2 linked regions of the Medicago truncatula genome follow. The protein of the gene in region 1 interacts with the protein of each later gene in a pairwise test. Links are inferred from orthologs where the notes say so. Each region holds a gene or a part of one and is shown on either strand. Other genes may lie near its edges.

Evidence for each region. The genes of interacting proteins can lie anywhere in the genome.
Region 2: the proteins of auxin response factor 2B (region 1) and auxin-responsive protein IAA29 interact in binary tests that used the Arabidopsis thaliana proteins (3 or more experiments, as listed by UniProt). The link is inferred for Medicago truncatula from reciprocal best matches to the Arabidopsis thaliana genes ARF2 and IAA29.

Annotation. Positions count from the first base shown.
Region 1 is NC_053049.1:44,354,615-44,365,770, forward strand, and holds the start of auxin response factor 2B, read left to right. Parts: upstream 1-6,785; 5' UTR 6,786-7,098; coding exon 7,099-7,249; intron 7,250-7,341; coding exon 7,342-7,454; intron 7,455-7,679; coding exon 7,680-7,775; intron 7,776-7,931; coding exon 7,932-7,988; intron 7,989-8,104; coding exon 8,105-8,260; intron 8,261-8,340; coding exon 8,341-8,425; intron 8,426-8,539; coding exon 8,540-8,630; intron 8,631-8,715; coding exon 8,716-8,880; intron 8,881-9,003; coding exon 9,004-9,123; intron 9,124-9,249; coding exon 9,250-9,497; intron 9,498-9,588; coding exon 9,589-10,448; intron 10,449-10,525; coding exon 10,526-10,716; intron 10,717-10,821; coding exon 10,822-10,990; 3' UTR 10,991-11,023; intron 11,024-11,156. UniProt on the Arabidopsis thaliana protein: Auxin response factors (ARFs) are transcriptional factors that bind specifically to the DNA sequence 5'-TGTCTC-3' found in the auxin-responsive promoter elements (AuxREs). Could act as transcriptional activator or repressor.
Region 2 is NC_053044.1:52,828,788-52,839,336, forward strand, and holds auxin-responsive protein IAA29, read left to right. Parts: upstream 1-5,797; 5' UTR 5,798-5,977; coding exon 5,978-6,225; intron 6,226-6,459; coding exon 6,460-6,698; intron 6,699-6,791; coding exon 6,792-6,882; intron 6,883-7,058; coding exon 7,059-7,122; 3' UTR 7,123-7,282; downstream 7,283-10,549. UniProt on the Arabidopsis thaliana protein: Aux/IAA proteins are short-lived transcriptional factors that function as repressors of early auxin response genes at low auxin concentrations.

The sequences.
Region 1 (11,156 bases):
TGTTTTACTAGCTGAATATATTTTTGTCCCTATCAATATTATAACATTTTTTTAGGCTTTTTAAAAATTTTCTTTAACTTTTAGTCCTTAAAAAATTTATGTCCATGCTTTCGAACCCTTATTTTAAGCCAGTTCATGTGTATCCTTCAAAAAAATTAGTAAGATTTTGTAAGAATGTTTACAGTATTATAAAAAAAAATCTCACAAAATTATATTTTTTTAACAAAACGTAAAATAAATATAAACTCTTAAGCACCAAAAATATTAAAAAAAATTGTATTTAAGTCATTCCATGCTAAAAAAAAATAGGCAAAATTATTCTCATTGTCCTTAACTTAATAACGAGTAACAATTTCACCGTTTGTCTTTTTTTTTCATGTCATTTTCGTTATTTTTATCAATTTGCATATATATTTTTAATATTGAAATATATGTTTTTTTTTTCTTTCTATGTGAGTTATTAGTGTTCAAATTTATTGTCCTCCATTTGTGTTTTTAGATAAATTTTAGATTAAATGCTTGAAAATTCATATAAACAGACAAAAAAGGATAAAAGTGACATGAAAAAAAGATAAATAACAAAATCATCATCTGAAATTAAGTTAAAAGGCAATAAGTGTAATTTTACCAAAATTCTATCTATGTTTTTGGGAGATATTGTAATAATATTGTAAACATTTATGATAAACAAAAAAAAAATCAACATTTTAAACGATACGCATGAATGGACTTAAAAACAAGGAACAAAAGCGGGGATGAAAAACTTTCGAGAAACTAAGAGTAAAAAAAGAGGGATGATTAAAACGAAAATTTGAAATATTTATAGTGAGCAAAAACATATTTATAAGGACTAAAATGAAAAATTCATGTTTATACGAGTTTAACCCTGTTGATATAGACAATGTGTTTTAATAAGCAGGAGGTCGGGGTTCAAACCTTCAGCACCCCGATTTTTCACCTTTAAGATGTGAATTTCCAGCCACTATGTACTTGACTAGAAAAACAAAAACATAAAGTTTCTATTTTTTTTTTGGGTAAAAAAACATAAAGTTTCTTTTAATGTATGAAAGTTTAATCGAACGTAAATGTTAATTATCATCTTTATATAATTCGGTATTTCTAATCGAATTTCAGAAGTTAGGATTAATAATAATTTGTTGTTTGAAATCAATTCTTACAATTCTACACAATCTTGTAATCCAAAAAAAAAAATTCTTACAATTCTAAACATATGAGAGACATTAGACAATAAACACAAAGATAACCGAAGAATATTCGATTTGAAATTTGATGAATGGTAGTCAAAGATGGCTCTGGCTACGGTAGGCGACCTCAATGGGTCTCCTACCGTAGGTGACTACATTTTTTTTTTTTTTGGTTTTTAAATTGCTTGTGAGCCATTGGATCTGGAAAGAAGTTTTCAATGCCACAGATGTATATACATGTTGACCCACTAGCAATGTATATTATAATGTTTAATTTTTGTCTTTAATAAAGTAATTGAATTAATAATCAATTTACATAAAGGGTATTTATGTCATAGTTGAAAAAAATATGAAAATGCCCAATAAACTATTGGCGTGCATTATATATGTTCCCATCAAAGTTTTATATTTCATCAATATTTTTGCTCCACGAACTCAAGAAAAGAAAAATAAATATTCAACAAAAATATAGTATCCTTTTTTTGCATATTGAAGTTTTAGTTGGGTATTAAATGGTTAATTAATTTGATGAACGAAGGCATGATTTTGTATTATAATAAAAATTTTAACGCTAAAGACAATAATAGAAAACTTGGTAATACTTAAATTAAATAGGATTACGGCTAATATATCCCTCTAGATCTCTATATATAATATGAGTTTTTCTATCATGTGCAAATTTGCACATGTTAAGAAGTTTATAATTGAAATTTTGCATTGAAATTTATACATTTTGTAATAAATATATAATTTTTAAATAAATAATTGTTGTTTTTCAATAAAAACACTAACTACTTTTAATTGCTTTAACATGTGCAAACTCATATAATATATCTTAATCTATCAATTTTTTTAATAAAAACAATGTTTAATTGTTTATCAACGTTTATTATTATTTTTTTCAAACATAACTCCGATGTCACAGCAGGACACAAAAACACTTATTTGGATACATCACGATGAAAAAATATTCAATGACTAATCAATCTAAAATATATTCTAAACAGTTAATAACGTATGAGAGCTACCAATAATCAAATCATGCGTGATAGCAATTTTTAATCACTAATATTATTTGTTGATTAGTTATTTCATATTTTTAACATTATTAATTCCTTGGTGAAAAAAAAAAACTTTTTTAATTTCAAAATATAAAAGAAAAATTACACAAGAGGTATTACTAACTTAGAGCTGTGGAAAGGAATGGTTTCTGGCCTGGTTTTCTTGTTTGATTGAAAAGGAAAAGAGGAAAGGTACAAATTGAAACTACCTAAAATGACCTTGGCATTTAATTTGTTAATGTAATTTATTTAATATTGATCACTGGCAGCAACAGGTCACTCATATTGTATTGACCTACAAATACAAGTTACCACACCAGCATAAAAAAAATAAAATTGTCAAGACTAGTCTCTTACCAAACAAGACCCATGTTGCTTGCGTACCTTAAACGGCACCGTCAAAGATTACATGGTTCAAGCAGATTCAAAAAAGTTCGTATAATAACTCGGGCGCCATTTACGGTAGGAGAGGTGAATAGGTCTCCTATCGTAGGAGACCGTATAAAAAGACAATTTTTTTTTTGTTGTTAAAATAACATGTGTTTAAGTTAAATTCTATTTAAGTTATTCATTTAACTGCAAGGACAGTGTTGGTATTTCATCTTAAATAAAAAATTATTTTTCCATCTAGATCTGGAAATTGTTAAATTATTTTTTTTGTTTAAGTTAAATTATTTTTGCTTCAACTTCTTTCGTGTTTGTGAGAGGAAATTGTGGCAAGTTAGAGAAGTTTTGTTATTTTTATCATATCCATTCTACCCTTGAGTTTTCACTTGGAGGGAATAAACATGGAACGCATGAGCTTGCTATGAATTTTTCCAGTTTTTCCAACAATGCCAAAAACATCCTTTCTTAAATTTGAATCCAAAATCAATTGCATTTTTATAAATCAATATATATGTTAAAAAAATACAATCCTAGTGGGTCACTTATTGCAAATCTCAGCCATTCAAAAGCTTCAAAGTAAATTCAATGGTTGACATCCATTTTTCAAAAAAAAAAAAAAAAAAAACAGGTCTCCTACGGTAGGAGACCTATGAATGTCATGGACCGTAGCCTTTGCCAATAACTCGATCTAAGAAATTTAACTAGACGTGATAATCATAAATATTGTAAAAATGTTTGAGAAATTATGCGTAGATTGATGATGATGTGTCGATACTGTTTCCAAGGTGAACCCTGACTTGGATCTCTTTAAAACACGTTTCCTTAATATTTTGGTGCAAAACTTTAACGTGGCAATGATTTTCATTTATGTATTTATAGAGATTTAAAACTGGGTTGAGCCGTACTTTAAACTAACGGATCCTGCGGTAGAAACAAGGGGTGTTAAATGCTCGTGGTTTAGGCAAACTTGTTGTAAGCGATGCACACGTGGCAATATGGAAAGTTAACATCACGATGGGCAACATCCTTGCTTTGAATTTTCACCTTTTTTTTTAGTTTGAATTGCATTTGATGTATCCATTAAAAGTTGGGTTGATGATGCTTTATCCGTGTAATATATGTGATTTTCAGTTTTTTTTCTATATTTTTTTTTTTTAGTTATCCCTTTATAAAAAAAGTTTGTTTTGGAAAACCCCCTATGATATATATATATATATATATATCACTCAAAAATCTCTCACTAAAATTAAATTTGAGTTTGAGCATTACTATAAATATAACTCAGTTGAGAGTGATGTGATAGTATACCAAAATCGAAACCACAATTTCGAATTCTCATCTTACTGATCTTATAAAGTGAATTTTTACCTATTGAATTACTTGAGAAAAAACGATACAGATTGAAAGTGTGTATCTCAAGGTGAGTAATTGCTTAAATCGTAATCTTTGACTTTCCTCTTACTATCATAAATCTATCATTTACTCCCTCCATTTCAAAATAAGTACTCCATCCGTTCCTTGTATCACTTTTGGAGAAAAAATTTGTTCCTATTTAACTGTCACTTTCAAAGTTCAATGTAACATTAAATGTTGTTTTACCAATATTATTCTTAGTTATTTATTGTGGAGAGAGAAATATATGAAATGACATATTAAATGAATAAGGTCATTATAGTAAAAGTACAGCTTATTGCATCAAAAATAGTATCAATTGTTGATTGTCTTGGTTTGTGTAAAACGTCAAAATGTGACAATTAAAAAGGAATGAAAGTAGTATCATTTTAGCAAAAAAAAATTGTTTCAAAATGAATGTCACTTTCAGTTTTCAATGCAATAATAACTTTTTCTTTTCAATTGTACATTTCAATTAATATTATGTTACATTACTTCCAAAGTATTATTTTTTCTTTAATGAAAAACAAACCAATAGTTGATTAGGATAATTTGGTAAAATTGTTATGACATTTGACTACTTTATTTCATTCCTTAATATATGTGCAATTGACTAAAATGACACTCATTTTGAAACGGATTGAGTAATTTTTTTTTTGTTTTGGTGAAATTTTCCTTTTTATTGCCGTTATTAATCAGCACTTATATGAAATAACCATGGATAGTTTTGACCGTCTGTAGTAAATATTATTAGAGCATCCACAATGAAGACCCTCAAATTGAAGGTTTTAAGCGGATCCCACGTGTACACATCATTTTATTTTATTTTATAATAACAGTACCTAATAGGTACTCGGTCACTCCAATGAAGATCTTATAACAAAAAGTCTAAATAGGTCCCACCACTAACATATTATTTTACGCTTAAATGCTTTTTTGGTCCCTTAACTATTTAATTGGTATCGCTTTGGTCCCTTAACTAAAAAAAAGATTGTTTGAGGATTTTAAGTTTTTTTTTAGTATCGTTTTGGTCCCTTCTGTTAGGTTTCCGTTAGGGTTTTAAAAAAATGTTAACTCCTGGACACGTGTCACCTTGTCATTGGCTCTGAGTTTTTTTTTAATATATATATATATATATATATATATATATATATATATATATATATATTTTAAAAAAAAATCCCAAAGCCAATGGCAAAGTGACACGTGTCCCAAAGTTAACACGTGTCATCTTGTCATTGGTTCTGGGAATTTTTTACAAAAAAATAAAATATATATATTTAAAAAAATTAACTTTTTTTTTTATAAAAAATATATTTTTTTGTAAAAAAAAAAATCTCAGAGTCAATGACAAGGTGACACGTGTCCACACTTAACGTTTTTTATTAAAACCAACGGAAACCTAACAGAAGAGACCAAAACGAGACTAAAAAATACTTAAAATCATCAAACAATCTTTTTTTTAGTTAAGGGACCAAAGTGATACAAATTAAATAGTTAAGGGACCAAAAGAGCATTTAAGTCTTTATTTTAATAAAAAAGTGTGTGTGGACCACTTAAAGATGAGGTCTTAAGTTAGACCTCATCTCTTAGAAGACCCCTAAAAAAAAAATTTACAATAAAAGTACCTATTAGATATTAAATCTTAAATGGTGAAGACTTTACCATTGTAGATGCTCTTATTAATGAAAGGTCCAATTAGTCCCATATTAGGGGATCTTACTAATATTATATGAATTTTTCACATTCGACACGGAATGTTGGAAAATAATTTTGGTAGAGATAATAATATACCCCAATAGAGGGGCAATAATGTTGGTTGATGAGATAAGAAAAGCAATCTCTAAGACGGAAATGGGGGCGACAACTCCTGTTCAATCTTCACGTTTCAGTGCTGCCCTTACTGCCCAAGCGCATCAAACCTCTTATATTATCACAACTCATACAACCGGCTCCTTAAAATCAATTTTTATTTTATATCACTGCCCATACGTTACAAATTTATTATTTATTATTCATTCCAATTAATTAATTTAATCAATTGAATGCATAAATCTAGGAGAAAAATATATATATTTTTTTTTAAAATTAAACCATATTCATAAACACTTGGATTGGATGAAATAATGAAGGGTATTTTATAATTGTTTTAAGTTCAAATATATCATAAAATAAAATACAAGTGTTAATTTTTTTTATAAAGTGTTTAATTTTGTATCATAGTTTTATTCGATAAAAAAATGTCTTGTTAATCCGTACTTTAAGGACAATGGTTAAGAATTTAAAAGAGGAACTAATTTATGAATTTTATATAAAAAAGTTTTTATTTTTAATTTTTAATATAGTGAAAACACAAGTTTCAATAAATTTTTTTTTCCTTAGACTCTTAAAAAAAATTAATCTTTACAATTATGCGTAGAAATATTTGATAAAAAATGTAAAAAAGGTGAGGAAGTAACAAGGGAAAGTTAAGTAACGCGGATGGTGTTAAATGCACCCTTCTTACCCGTACCCCATTACACTGCCCGTCCACAGCACGACAACGCCATTTCCCAATAAAAACATGACAACTTTCCCGCGACCGTTAAGACAAACGCCGTTACTTTCTCCATCCAATCCTATCTTGACGTCTATTAACACCGTTTATTCTTACCCCCTTATTTCCAATGAGCCGCCTTTTATTTATGGCGTTGTTTGCGTTTCCCTAGCACCAAAACTTCCTCACTTCTGATACCCGGTTGGAAAAGCAGGTAAACCTGTTATCACCGGTTGTATCTCATTTAACCGCGGTTAAAATCATTGACCACTCTAGTTAAAGTCCTCTCTTCCGACACTCCTTCTGGTCCTCCTGCTACCATTTATCATCATCATCTTAGAGAGAGAGAGAGATAAAAATAACAAAACAAAATATTGAGAGAGAGAGAGAGATAGAAAACTTAGAGAGAGAAAGTGGGTAGTTGAACGAGTCATCGTCAATTGAAGGCTTGTTTCTTTGTTTTTGAAGATCAAGAAGAAGAACGTTGTTGTTGTTGTTGAGTTTTCATGAAGAGTGGATGTTTGGGATGAGAGATCTGGAAGAAGAAAGAAACATGGCATCATCAGAAGTATCTATGAAGGGAAATTCTGTCAACGGAAAAGGTGAAAACAACGTTGATGGTGTTGGAGATGCTCAAAATGGTTCTTCATCGTCATCAACAGGAAGAGGTAACAACGTTAACGTGGTTTTATCTGTAATTAAGGTTTTGTGTAACAAATTATGGAGTGATAATGTTTTTTTTTTCTTTTCATTTTTCCAGAAGCTGAAGCTGCACTTTACAGAGAACTATGGCATGCGTGTGCTGGTCCTTTGGTAACAGTTCCAAGAGAAGGAGAACTTGTGTTCTATTTTCCACAAGGACATATTGAACAGGTAACACAAACATTACCTATTTTCCGACAATTATCTTTCATGGTTTGGTTCTTGTTTTCTTTAGTTAAGTTAGCTACCGGTTTATCTGTGTGTCAACTCAGATTTGTCACACTTAACTCGTTTTGGTTCCTAATTTAGCAGCATCTGGGTTTTTTCTTTTTTATATTAGAATTAGAGTTATTATGATGATGATTATGGTGAAATTAACATAATTCCATACATTAGGTGGAAGCTTCAACAAATCAAGCATCGGAACAACACATGCCGGTTTACGATCTCCGACCTAAGATCCTTTGTCGGGTCATCAACGTTATGCTAAAGGTAAATTTTCCTCTTTTCCTTTTTTTTTTTTGAATAATTTAATAAATTCCTTTCTTTTTCTAACAGTAACACAGTTGTTTTGTTTGTGTAATTATAAAATATAATAAAATTATTTATCTTTTAATTATTGATTAATTTTTGTATATTTTTTTGTAGGCGGAGCCAGATACTGATGAGGTGTTTGCACAAGTGACTTTGGTACCAGAGCCCAATGTGAGTTTTTCCACTAATTTTCTTTTGGTTTCTTTGGTTTGGAGTAACAAACACAGCATGTTCTTATTTTTTTCTTTGTGTGTTGTTTTGGATTGTGGATCTGGATGATATTGTAGCAAGATGAAAATGCTGTTGAGAAAGAAGCTCCACCTGCTCCTCCGCCGAGATTTCATGTTCATTCGTTTTGTAAAACGTTGACCGCATCTGATACCAGTACTCATGGTGGTTTTTCTGTACTTAGACGACATGCTGATGAATGTCTTCCTCCTCTGGTTTGTTCTCTGTTCCCTCTTCTTCCTCCTTCTGTTTTTCCATATGGATGAAATTGATGGTGTTTGTTGTTTGGTGATAGGATATGTCAAAGCAACCACCTACACAGGAATTGGTGGCCAAGGATCTGCATGGGAATGAGTGGCGTTTTAGGCATATTTTTCGCGGTAATTACTAGTCCATCTTAAACTGTTGACCACTTGATTTATTTCTTATTAATTTTTGTTCATTTTTTTTTTTTTTTTTTTTTGTGTTTGATGTGTGAGGTGAATTGATTTCAGGTCAACCGCGTAGACATTTGCTGCAGAGTGGTTGGAGTGTTTTTGTCAGTTCTAAGAGGCTGGTTGCTGGGGATGCATTTATATTTCTGAGGTTTGCTTAGTTGTTATAACATCATTTTTGAATTAGTGTTTTTTTGTTGTTGTTGGTGATTTTGACTAATTTAGGATTTTTCCAGAGGTGAGAATGGGGAGCTTCGAGTTGGTGTCAGGCGTGCAATGAGACAGCAGGGTAATGTTCCATCCTCGGTTATCTCTAGCCATAGCATGCATCTTGGTGTTCTTGCAACTGCCTGGCATGCTGTTTTGACTGGGACCATGTTCACTGTTTATTACAAACCCCGGTATGCAATTTGTTCTTAAACCATGTCTGCTCTGTTCTAACTATTATCTGATTTGAGTGTTCTTTCTGATTTATTTCCCTAGGCATTGAGTTTACACCGTTCTTGCTCATGTTTCTTCTGCAGGACTAGTCCAGCGGAGTTTATTGTTCCGTATGATCAATACATGGAGTCTCTAAAAAATAATTATACAATAGGCATGCGGTTCAAAATGAGGTTTGAGGGTGAAGAGGCTCCTGAGCAAAGGTGTGAATGATCAAAACAATAATGTCTTTTTTCTCTGTTTAAGTTTTAATGTTACTACTGCTTGCTGGTTATGTCCATTTATTCTTTATCTAATGGTTTATTTTGATTTGGTTTTTGTATGTGTAGGTTTACGGGTACCATTGTTGGAATTGAAGATTCCGACTCCAAAAGATGGCCAACATCTAAATGGAGATGTCTCAAGGTTAGATGGGATGAAACATCTAACATACCTCGTCCTGAGAGAGTTTCCCCTTGGAAAATAGAGCCTGCTCTTGCTCCTCCAGCTCTAAATCCTCTTCCAATGCCCAGGCCTAAAAGGCCCCGTGCTAACGTGGTGCCGTCATCCCCAGATTCTTCTGTTCTTACCCGCGAAGGTATTGTGAGAACTTGATATTTCTAAGAATTCCTCCTTTGCGTTGTGGTTTTTGTATGAAGCCTGATTTGTTTTTGCTGATCAATTAACAGCATCGTCAAAAGTAAGCATGGACCCTTTGCCCACTAGTGGTTTCCAGAGGGTCTTGCAAGGTCAAGAATCATCGACCTTGAGAGGAAATTTGGCTGAAAGCAACGACTCTTACACTGCAGAGAAGTCTGTTGCGTGGACTCCTGCAACTGATGAAGAAAAGATGGATGCTGTTTCTACTTCAAGAAGGTATGGTTCAGAGAACTGGATGCCAATGTCAAGGCAGGAACCAACGTATTCGGACCTTCTGTCGGGATTTGGTAGTACCCGTGAAGGCAAACATAACATGCTTACTCAATGGCCTGTAATGCCACCTGGTCTGTCGCTAAATTTCTTGCACTCCAATATGAAAGGTTCTGCACAAGGCAGTGATAATGCAACTTACCAAGCTCAAGGGAATATGAGATACAGTGCATTTGGTGATTACTCAGTGCTTCATGGACATAAAGTTGAAAATCCACACGGAAACTTTTTGATGCCACCACCACCACCAACACAATACGAGAGTCCCCATTCCAGAGAATTGTCACAGAAACAAATGTCTGCAAAAATAAGTGAGGCTGCAAAACCAAAAGACAGTGACTGTAAGCTATTCGGCTTCTCGCTTCTCAGTAGCCCAACTATGCTGGAGCCTTCATTATCTCAAAGAAATGCTACAAGTGAGACTTCTAGTCACATGCAAATTTCATCACAACATCACACATTTGAAAATGATCAGAAGTCCGAACATTCAAAGAGCTCCAAACCAGCAGATAAACTAGTCATAGTTGATGAGCATGAGAAGCAGTTGCAAACTTCTCAGCCTCATGTTAAAGATGTTCAACTCAAACCTCAAAGTGGTTCTGCTAGAAGCTGCACGAAAGTAAGTATCTGCATTGTTATTGTTACCTTTTTGACGAAATAAACGAGTTAGTAATAACGAAATGATTCTTATTTAAGGTTCACAAGAAAGGGATTGCGCTTGGTAGGTCAGTTGATCTTACAAAGTTTAGTGACTATGACGAATTAACTGCTGAATTGGATCAGCTATTTGAATTTAGAGGTGAACTAATATCTCCACAAAAGGATTGGCTTGTTGTCTTCACTGATAATGAGGGTGACATGATGCTTGTTGGCGACGATCCATGGCAGTAAGATCACCATTTATGGTTCTCTGATTAGCCTTTTTAATTGATTTTTTTTTCCCTTTCTTAAGGATGACCTTATTTGCATAATTTTTGTTTACTCAAATTCAGGGAGTTTTGTTCAATGGTTCGCAAAATATATATCTACCCCAAAGAAGAGATTCAGAAAATGAGCCCGGGTACACTGAGTTCAAAAAATGAAGAGAATCATTCAGCTACCGATGGTGGAGATGCACAAGAAACTAAATCTCAGCTGAATCAATCAGCTTCAGATAATTGATTATTTGGTAGATTGGATTTTCTTAGCATCCAGGTGTGACATCACTTCCTCGTTCAATAATGTTACCTTGTACTTGCAAACCTTTTTCTACATTTAATGTTGCCATGTATGAACACTGACAACTTTTCTTTGTAAAATCTCATATGGTATGAACATTGATCAATGT
Region 2 (10,549 bases), on another chromosome or scaffold:
ACAATGTTGGATTCGAATCTTATCAGTCTTTTTAAACTGAGGTAAATGTAATTTTCTTTTTAAGTCTCAATAAATTTAAAGGTATTTTCCAACTTATAGAGAAATATCATCCCTTCATCCTAAATTTTATACTAATAAAAATAAAAGTCTTACTAACAAGTGCTCTTAGAACACTTGTTAAAGAAACAAAAAATTGTAGTTTTACATTTAATAATTTTTTTAACTTTCAAAAAATTGAATTTATCATTTTTCATCATTTCTTTAACCAATACCCTAAGGAACCTCTTTAACATTTCCCATAAAAAAATGTGTTTAAAGACAACTTTTGAAAATGTTTTTTTTACATAAAAAAAGGTTGAAAAGATGCAATCAAATGCAACTTACTCGTAACTTGGTTATTTTTTTTAGATGATATCTTGTATGATGAAGAATATATATGTTCCTTTTAAGATGATTAGTTAGATTAGTGAAGCAACACATCTATACAAATTTCAAATGTTTGGTTGTTTTGAGTATTATAATCGCATATACTTGTGCCCCATTTGTGTTGCACTCTGTTTTAGTTTTATTTGGATATGGATCATGGATGACTATTTTTCTACAAATTAAAATTTAGATTGAAGAATATATTTTAAAAAATAAACAAATAGTACTTCAAATTAAGCTTCCTCGAAGAAAAAGGTTTAGATGGAACATAAGTAGAGATGTAAATGAATATTCATAGATGCAAATTTTATGATATACATGTTTGCTTCATTGGATAAAATTGACATTTGTGCCCTCTCCTTATCTACATGGATATGCGGGTTATCCACGGATTTTGAAATATCCACGAGTATATACAAATATCCATGAATATAATTTTTTTTTTAAAATGATTTTTGTAATAGTTTTTTTTTATAATTACCTAAAATTTAACAACAAATATTCATCACATTCATTTGCTTCTTTTTACCAAAATATAATAATATTCATACATTCCGTTTCATTTCTAAAACAAAGTTCTTTAATTAAAAAAGACATAACTAAAGGGTAATACTATTGATTTGTTTTAGAGGAGAATTGAAGCGACATATAATATTATTTTAAGTATTGTTTTTTTATTGAACTTGAAAGGGTAGTAAGTTTATTAATGTAATTTACTTAATTTACTAACGAATACCATTAAATATGTATTTGTATCCATTAAATAATGGATGGTTGAAATACCTGTTTATTTTATTATGTGACAGATTTTATTCACGGATATCCGCATGTGAGATTATTATGTCATCCCTACAAAAGGTCTAGACTCCCACAAATACGTAGCCAACTAAAGTTCAAATCTAACAATGAAATATACTCACATTTAGTGTTGGATAATGTCAAGATTTCTTCCGATGAAGGAAATCCATGAAAAATTAAAAGTTCGATTAAAAATCTTAAAAGCATATATGATAAAACACAAATAAATTAAAAAATGACAAATGCATTTTCACCAAGGATGAATTTGGTAAAACATAATTTATGTTTGAAATTTTTTTCTTCTAGTAAAAAGTGTGCTTAACACTCGAGCGTTGAGTTACGAGTAAAGAATAAAAAGTTGAGTCTTATATTCGAGGGTTTTGGGTTCAAGTTATGCCGTCTCTTTAAAGGAATTTAGATGCAGTTCTTTTTGTAAGCACTATTTGAGTTTTAAGATCTTTCTGCCTTGTACAACAACACAATCCCTTCACACTAAGTTATATTGGAGCAGGAAAGGTTTGTTGCCAAAGGTTAGACATCAACATTACTAGAAATAAGATTTTTGGCAAGACTTTTTCTCGGCGACAATAAACTTGTTGGCAAAAACATTCATATAGCAACAACTAATTAAAATTGTTGTATTAAGTTTTTTTTAACAATATTGTTATCGTTGGGAAAAATGGTTTGTCCCAACAATAACTATTGTTGTTGAAAATAATACAACTTTTTATATGCATATAACATCGACTAATCAAAGTTGTTGTAATAGGTTATTGTTATTTATAAACAATATCACTATCGTTGGAGAAAGTGACTTGTTCCAACAACAATTTTTGTCGCTGAAATGGTGATTGGTGCATATCCGGAGATTGTGAAGTGGTAGCTGAGCTTGGATCCACCGTGCTTAGCGAAGATTTTCAGGTCAAGTTATTCAGTTTGGGACTACATAGCTAGCTTGAGCTCGATTTAAGGATCCCTGATGCAGGAGAACAACAATGATCAGTACGTGTCATCAAAGCAAAGCAAAGCTTTCCCAAGGAACACAAACCATAATTAATGCTCTGTATGATGCATATTGCTTCTTTTGAAGTGGTTCAATTCATCCATCAAACTCAGGAACAAAACCTTGCCATGCTTTGCTTTGATTTCTCTAATTAGTAATTGAGATTCGAAAGTGACATCTTATCTATATGGGGTTTCATCTTGCCTGGCCAAACTTAGACACTTAACCAATTTAGTTGTAGGGGTGTGTGTGGGTGAAGTAATGGATGATAGGTAAATGGCCAACAATGAATTAGACCCATAATACTTTAGGGGTCCTACTAGTTGAGTTTGTACCCTTCACCGCATGGGAACTATATAGAACAACTGGATTCCAACTTTCAATCCTTTGTTCGTGCGGAGTTTAGTGAATAGCATAATTTGCCATGCACCATCACGTGGGTTTCACAAGTTTACGTACACTTTGTCAAGCACTATATTGTGCTCTATTGGTAACCCTACACTTGTATTTTGGACCACATACATACCTAATATAGTAATATACGATATATTGCAAAGTTGATGCTTTGTGTAGCGCATTTCACCTTTTCGGTTTTGCTTAACTCGAGTAAATAAGAATTCTCCTTAAATTATGATTGTCATTGCAGACAAATGATCATTAATGATCTTGAAGCAAATGTTTTATGTGCATAGTGCATAAGTAGATTAAACACGCAATTAGTTTGCGTGAGTTCTTTTTTTTTTTTTTGAAGGAATAATTTGCTTGAGTTCTAAAATCATGATATGTTTGACGGGCATTATAGTCGACATATTGGACATATTAACAAACAAGTATCAATATGTTCATGAGCTACTGATTCCTTTCATTTTTTTTTATATATCAAATATAAAAAAAAAAAAAATTGGAAGTTAGGTCTTTTTTTTTTTTTATTTCATTTTTTTTTATTATAGGTCTTTCATATTGGAAGTTAGGTCTTTCATAATAATAAAGAACAGAATGTTAGTGCTCCCGCAACACTCATGAATACTCGTACAATCGTAATGTCCATAGTAACTTCCTTGTTTTGAGAAGTTTTTTCCCCAAAAAATAAATTGAAACGAAATATTAAGGACTTCTTTGGCTTAAGAAAATTATTTATGTTCTTATTTTCTATTCTTTTGGTTGTAAAAATGTCTCTAATTTTTTTTTAATATTTTTTTTTGTTTTAAAATATCTGTATATAATGAAGTAAAAACAATTTCTTTTACTAATTCTTATACATTTCTTTAATTTGAAATAGAAACAAAGTGTAAATTTTACAATTTGAAGTAAAAATAGCACATGAAACTAAAACGTTTTTCTCAAACTAAACAGACTCTTGTCAATTTGTGTGGATTTTTTTTTTTTTTTTTTTTTGCATAGCTAAATAGGAGTTTGTTTTAATTTCTACAGGTTTATGGTCACCACAAGCAGAGTATTTATGATTTGCTGCTAAGAGTTTCTTATTATTTCTTCAGGATTGATCAGAATCACAAGTAACTGAGGGCAATAAACAATTTTGTCACTAATGTTTTGGTTGGAAAGGGGTAACATTATATTAAGAAAACATAATGTTCAATCATGTCCAGCACAAAATACACAAGCTGTTCATTTTATAATCAATACCATTAATATCTCTGCATCTGCTTATCTGTCTGTGTCTTGTTTTATCTTTTCATAAAAAAACATACTGTTTTAAGGCTTAATTGGACATTTGGTCCTCTAAATAATTATGCGTTTATATTTTGGTCCCATAAATTGTAAAACTCACATTTTAGTTCTCTTGGTTTTGCTCCGTCGAATCAAAAAGGTCCTAACTGTTAACTTTAACCCCCAAATGTCTATGGTGGACCGACTTTAAAAATGGTCCACCATAGATCCTATTAATTATTCTAATTTAAACTGTTTGATATTTTTTTAAAAGGAGGGTCATTGGATTACGCAGATGTATTTTATCTTACGGTGAGTCAACAACACTTAATTATTTCTCCCTTTCTTCATCTTCTTCCTCACTTTTCTTCATCATATTCATATCATTTTCACCAACATTCATGAACAAAAATCCAAAAGAAAAAAAAAACCATAATTTTTTCCTCTCTTTACAAAATCTACTCCACTCTTCTTTCATTTCCTTTTCTTTCTTCCTCTCTCTACAAAACAAAGCCATACTCTCCCTCTCCTCCTTTCCAACCGAATTTTCCGGCCACCCACCGTGGTGTTTCCGGCCATCTTTTGTCAAACAAAATACATAATCTACATACTCTCTTCTTTCTCTATCTCATTCTGAAATTTAATTTTGGATCGGAGACATATTTTAGTCTCCAAACCGTCACTTTCATTATTAGATCTAGACCACCACAAATTGTTTCATGACAAACCACTACCATAAACATACTCTCCTTCATATTCTCTACAAAACCCACAAAGAAAAACCACGAACCGGTGAATTTTCTCGGCGACCACCGCACCGGAAAACGACCCCACCACCGCGCCGGACAATGAACAATAACATATTTGGATTGGTTTTGTTTACCGCGCCGGACAACGACCCCACCACCGCGCTGCACCGGAATTTTCTTTATTGTGTTGTGTTTTGTTTTGCTGGATTGGTTTTGTGAAATAGATTTGGATTTGATTTGAAGAAAGCTCAGATTGATGGAGAAATGAGAACTGATTGTTGTTGTGGTTTATTTTCAGAATCTGAAAAAAAAAAAAAAGATTTGTGTGTTTCCAAATTTTTTATTAATTTTTTGGGTTTAAATTCTTCTTTTTTATGGGTTGTTGTGAATTGTGATGAATGTATGAATATTTGATGATGAACAAGAGTGAGGGAGAAGAAGAGAGAAGATGATAGTGCTGGAAAAATTAGGTGCCGATAGCTCACTATAGGTATAATGGACATGCAATCAAACGGCTAATATCATATCAAAAATTTTAAACATTAAAAAACTAACGGAGGGGATCAATTTGACTGACGGAGCAAAACCAAGGGTACCAAAATATGAGTTTTACAATTTATAGGACCAAAATGTAAACTCATAATTATTTAGGGGACCAAATATCCAATTAAGCCTTGTTTTAAATATTAGATTTTCCTTACAATTAATGAACCAAATCCCAAAAGTCTTTTCAGAGTAATGATCTTCACCAAATTTTGGTGAATATGAATATGACACTTCCTTATAGCATGAGACTACTACTAAATATGAATTTGGATTTGCAATTCGTGCAATCACATCGTCATAGACGTTGGTGATCATTGGATCAAAATCGAACGGTCGAGGTTTTAATGCATATTTAAATGTACTTTTTAAAACTGAAATTCCACTCTTGCAATCCAAACCGTCCGAATTGGATCAAGTGACCACCAACGTCCTGATTGTGTGAATGCGCGAATTGCTGACTATAGAAAATTGAAATTCGAATATGTATATGAGGGGACACATTGAGTGGACAATTGAGACCAACAAAAGAGAGTAAAGTGGTCATAGCACATTGGTGCTCTCATTTCTCAACATGCTTATAATGCTGCTACTCTTTTTGCCGACCCAACTTCCTTGTTGTCTGTAACAATCCTTGTTCCACAAGACAATAGTCCTTTTCATTCCCCTCCTTCACTCACACACAAACACACATATATACTCACAACCCCATAAGTCAAGTAATCTCAATTACTCTTAGAAAGCTAGCAAGTACCTATCTCTAACCTATTAGCCTAGCTTCTTATGCTTCATGGAACTTCAGTCAGGTCTGGCTCTACCCATTCATAGTTCCATTGAAGGATTCGATCCCTACAACTCTGATTTAAATAATCACATTCGCGGTTCAGAAAATATAAAGTATGTCAAAAACAAACGTAGCTTTGATGAGTCTTTTGGAGATTTTTCGAAACCTTTGCCTCTATTAGTATGGAGTGGACAACCAAATGAAGAAGATGGCCGCAGTGAAAAGAAGAACAGAAGCATTCACACATCAAACAAGTAAGTTCATGCATGGATCAACCATGAGTTTGACAAAGTTACAACGTGTCACCGTAATTTAGACAAAAGTTACACTTTCTAGCTTCAACAAAATCACAGTGCTACTTGACTTTGTAAAATTTATCGTGATTACAAATTAACATGCACTAAACTAGCTGCTAATATGATTAATTTTTTTTATTATAAATATCATGACACCTTTATTATAATTTTTTGATGTACATGTATAAATAGTGAAGGAGAAAACCATTTGGTTGGGTGGCCACCAATTAAATCATGGAGGAAGAAAGAATTTCATGATCAGCAGCTTCCTGAACATATAAGGAAAGCTAATGAAAATCAAAATAGAAGATCAAAACCTTTGTATGTTAAGGTTAACATGGAAGGGGTTGGCATGGGAAGACAAATCAATTTGAGGCTTTACAACTCTTATCAAACTCTCAAAGACTCGTTGATTAGCATGTTTGTTAAATGTTAGTGTCTAGCGATATATTCATACTTCATAGTGCCATTCCTTTTTAGCTTTTGGTATATTTAGTGGATTTGTTTTTTATTATTTTGAACAGGCCAAAATTTTGAGGAAACTGGAGCAAACTATACACTCACATTTCAGAATAAACAAGGGGAGTGGAAGCTTACAAGCCATATAACATGGCAGTATGTGTCTGTTTTATATAAATATTAATGTTACATACTTTCATGGACAAGTTTATATCACATGAACTCAACAGTTATTTGGATCAGGAGCGAGAATTTAGAAATTTGGAATACGAAATATCATCATTGTAGAAAGGTAAGGTGTCTAAAGATCAAATTTATAACTTTTTTTGCAGATCCTTTATTGGTACTGTGCGGCGTTTGGCTATATTGAGGAATGGAGAATGTGAAACTATCTGACGAAGACTATACTACATAGTTTGTACTTTAATGCTGTTGTACTTTGTTAGTAAAGAGTACTATCTCCTTCAATGTGTTACAGAGAGCATAAGCAAAATATGTGAAGTCAAATTAGTGAATTACAATTTACAAATAATTTGTAATAATTTTGATTTTTTTACTAATAATAATATTGTAATTGTTCAAGTGTGTGCAAATAATTTGTAACAATCTCATAAGTTGATAAAAATGTCAAAATTATTAGACCAGACGTCATGACCAGATTCAAACCCTGACACCTTCACTTATGTGTGTGTTTATGATGACTTTACCATTCCGTCTATCTAAAAAAAACTAAAATTTCAACATTTGCCAAATAGTCTTATCCTTTTATATAAAATGGCTTAATAACACAAAAGAATACTACATCCGTCCCTAATTATAGGGCCCTTTTGAAAAATAACGGGAATTAAGATAGTGAAGATTTGTACTACCTCCGTCCCTAATTATAAGACTCTTTTGAAAAAAAAATTGTCCCTTTTTATAAGACCCCTTTGTTATTTCCAACTACAATAATTATTTCTTTACATACATGCCCCTATTTATTATACATCTTTTTCTTCAATCAGCAATAAATAACATGTTGAAAACATAAATCAACTCTCTTTCTTAAAGGATAAAATTGTAAAAACAATAGTAATTACAAACATATTTAATACAAATATTCACTATCTTAATTCCCGTTATTTTTTTAAAAGGGTCCTATAATAAGGGACGGAGATAATATTAAATATGTTTGTAATTACTATTGTTTTTACAATTTTATCCTTTAATAGAGAGGGTTGGTTTATGTTTTTAACATGTTATTTATTGCTGATTGAAGAAAAAAATATATAATAAATAGAGACATGTATGTAAAGAAATAATTAATGCAGTTGGAAATAGCAAAAAGGTCTTATAAAAACGAACAAAAAAAATTCTCAAAAGAGTCTTATAATTAGAGACGGAGGTAGTATGTTTTTAAACCGAAATTTGCCTATAATCATGAAATTGAGAGATTAATTTAGCACGTGTTAACTAATCTGCATGATAACTTGAACCTATAATTTCCCTTCAAAAAAAAAACTTGAACCTATAATTAAGTAGTTGATAAGGCTTAGAAGTTAAGACGAGGTTGGGGTTCAACATGAATAAATTCGTTATGTCCAACCCCAACATTGTATTATTATTTTTCCTAAATAATACCCCCTCCGTTTGTTTTAGGAAAAAAAAAATTGTCCTAAATTATATGTCGCTTTACAATACCAATACAATATTAATGTTATTTTTCCTATTATAACTTTAACTTTTTATTACTTTATCTTCTTTCAATTCTTTCATTTATTTTTCTCATATTACTCCCTCCGTCCCAAATTGTATGACGTTTTAGCCATTTCACACATATTAACAAATGTAATTAATATTGTGTGGGAAAGAGATATTATGAGTTATTTTACAAAATTGTCCTTAATAAATGATATGAGAAAGATAAATGAAGGAATTGAAAGCAGAGAGAGTAATAAATAGTTAAGGATATAATAGGAAAAGTAACAATAATATTTCATTGGTATTGTAAACGACATACAATTTGGGACAAATATTTTTTCTAAAATGACATACAATTTGGGACGGAGTGAGTATTTATTAAGAACAATTTTATAAAACAACTCATAATATCTATTTTCAATACAATATTAATTGCATTTCTTAATATGTGTGAAATGCTCAAAACGTCATATAATCTGGGACGGAGGGAATATTTGAAGTATTCCGTGGCATAGCTACAAATATCGGTTAAGTTCCAAAGTTTCCAATCACAGCATTACATCATACCACCAATAAACATACTTATGACAAGAATTTGAGATTCTTTATATGGAATGAAATTTATGTAGCATATTACAAGAAGCTAGGATCACTTATGGAGTTGAAATAGGGTGGTGAAGTGTGATTTTTTTTTCTTCTTCCATATTTCAAACAAATGGACTAACGTTAGGTATTTGTTTAGCTTAATACTTTCATGAAACGTGCAAAGCCTGAATATGTTGAAAAAACCTTACAATACTTATGACAAGAACTTGTGTACGCAAAGAAAAGGTTCTTTCCACATGCTTTTGACAATAACAAATTTAACATGGTTTTCTCTAATGCATCACAATAATTAAAATAAACAATTTGGTCATTTACAAAAATTAAAAAGAGACAATTTGATTCTTACACTGATAAAACTCAAATGATTTCTTCTTCATTGAACTCACCTCTGACATTTCTTTAAAATAGTAGTACAAACTTATCAACAAATATTGTGTGTTTATGTGAATGTTTAATTAATTTTTAATCTTCTCCTTTTCTTCCGAGTTTATTTAACCGGACTCAAACTTTACTTTATGCGTGACTATATGCATCGTTCTTAACATTTAAGAACAGTTTAAGATGGTTTAGTGGACATTCACATATAAAGACAATTTCTACTTAGGACAGTTTTTAGGGTGGAACAATTCTTAATACAATTTTGAGAATCAAGTGACTTGTAGGGTGTGGGTGAAGTAATTGGTGCTACGTAAAGGACCAGCAATGAATTAATTAGACCCATCATACCTTAGGGGCCTACTAGTTGAGTTTGTACCCTTCACTGCACGGGAACTATATAGAACTGGATTGAGTTGTTTCATCCATTGCTCGTGCGGGGTTAAGTGAATAGCAATTTAGCATATTTGCCATTTACACAACACCATCACGTGGACTTCACAAGTCTATACTTTGCCAAGCACTACATTGTGCTGTATTGGTAACCCTACACTTGTATTTTTGGACCACATACACACCTAACTATACAATATACCCCTACATCGCAAGTTGATGCATGCTTTGTGGAGCACATTTCAGTTTCACCATTTCGGTTTCTCTGATTAACATTGTCATTATAAACAAATACTCATTAATTAAATATCTTGAAATGATCTTTACTAGATAACAAAGAGAAAAAGTGATTGTGATGAATATTGATAAGGAAATTATTGTACAAGAATATGCACTTCCCTCACTAACAAGTCTAGTTTCATTGTCAATAATTTCCTTAACAACATTCATCACAATCACTTCCTCTCTTGTTATCCAGTAAAGATCATTTCCTCCACTATAAGTGGTTTCTATAACAAACACCAATTAAGGGGAGCTTCTTTTCTACCTATCTCTTTCCATGAGTTATGTATTCCAATTCTTAGCACATAGAAAACATATCAGAAAGCACCTGAAACTAAACAGACGTCTACAAAAGCTTGAATTTCGCAGTGCGAAGAACACGTGTTATAGTGCATTGACAGCTAACTACTATACAATGCTAAGAAATGGGAAAAGGAGGAATTCTAAGCCAAGACTTCAAGATGGGGTTCACAACAATAATTTCTCT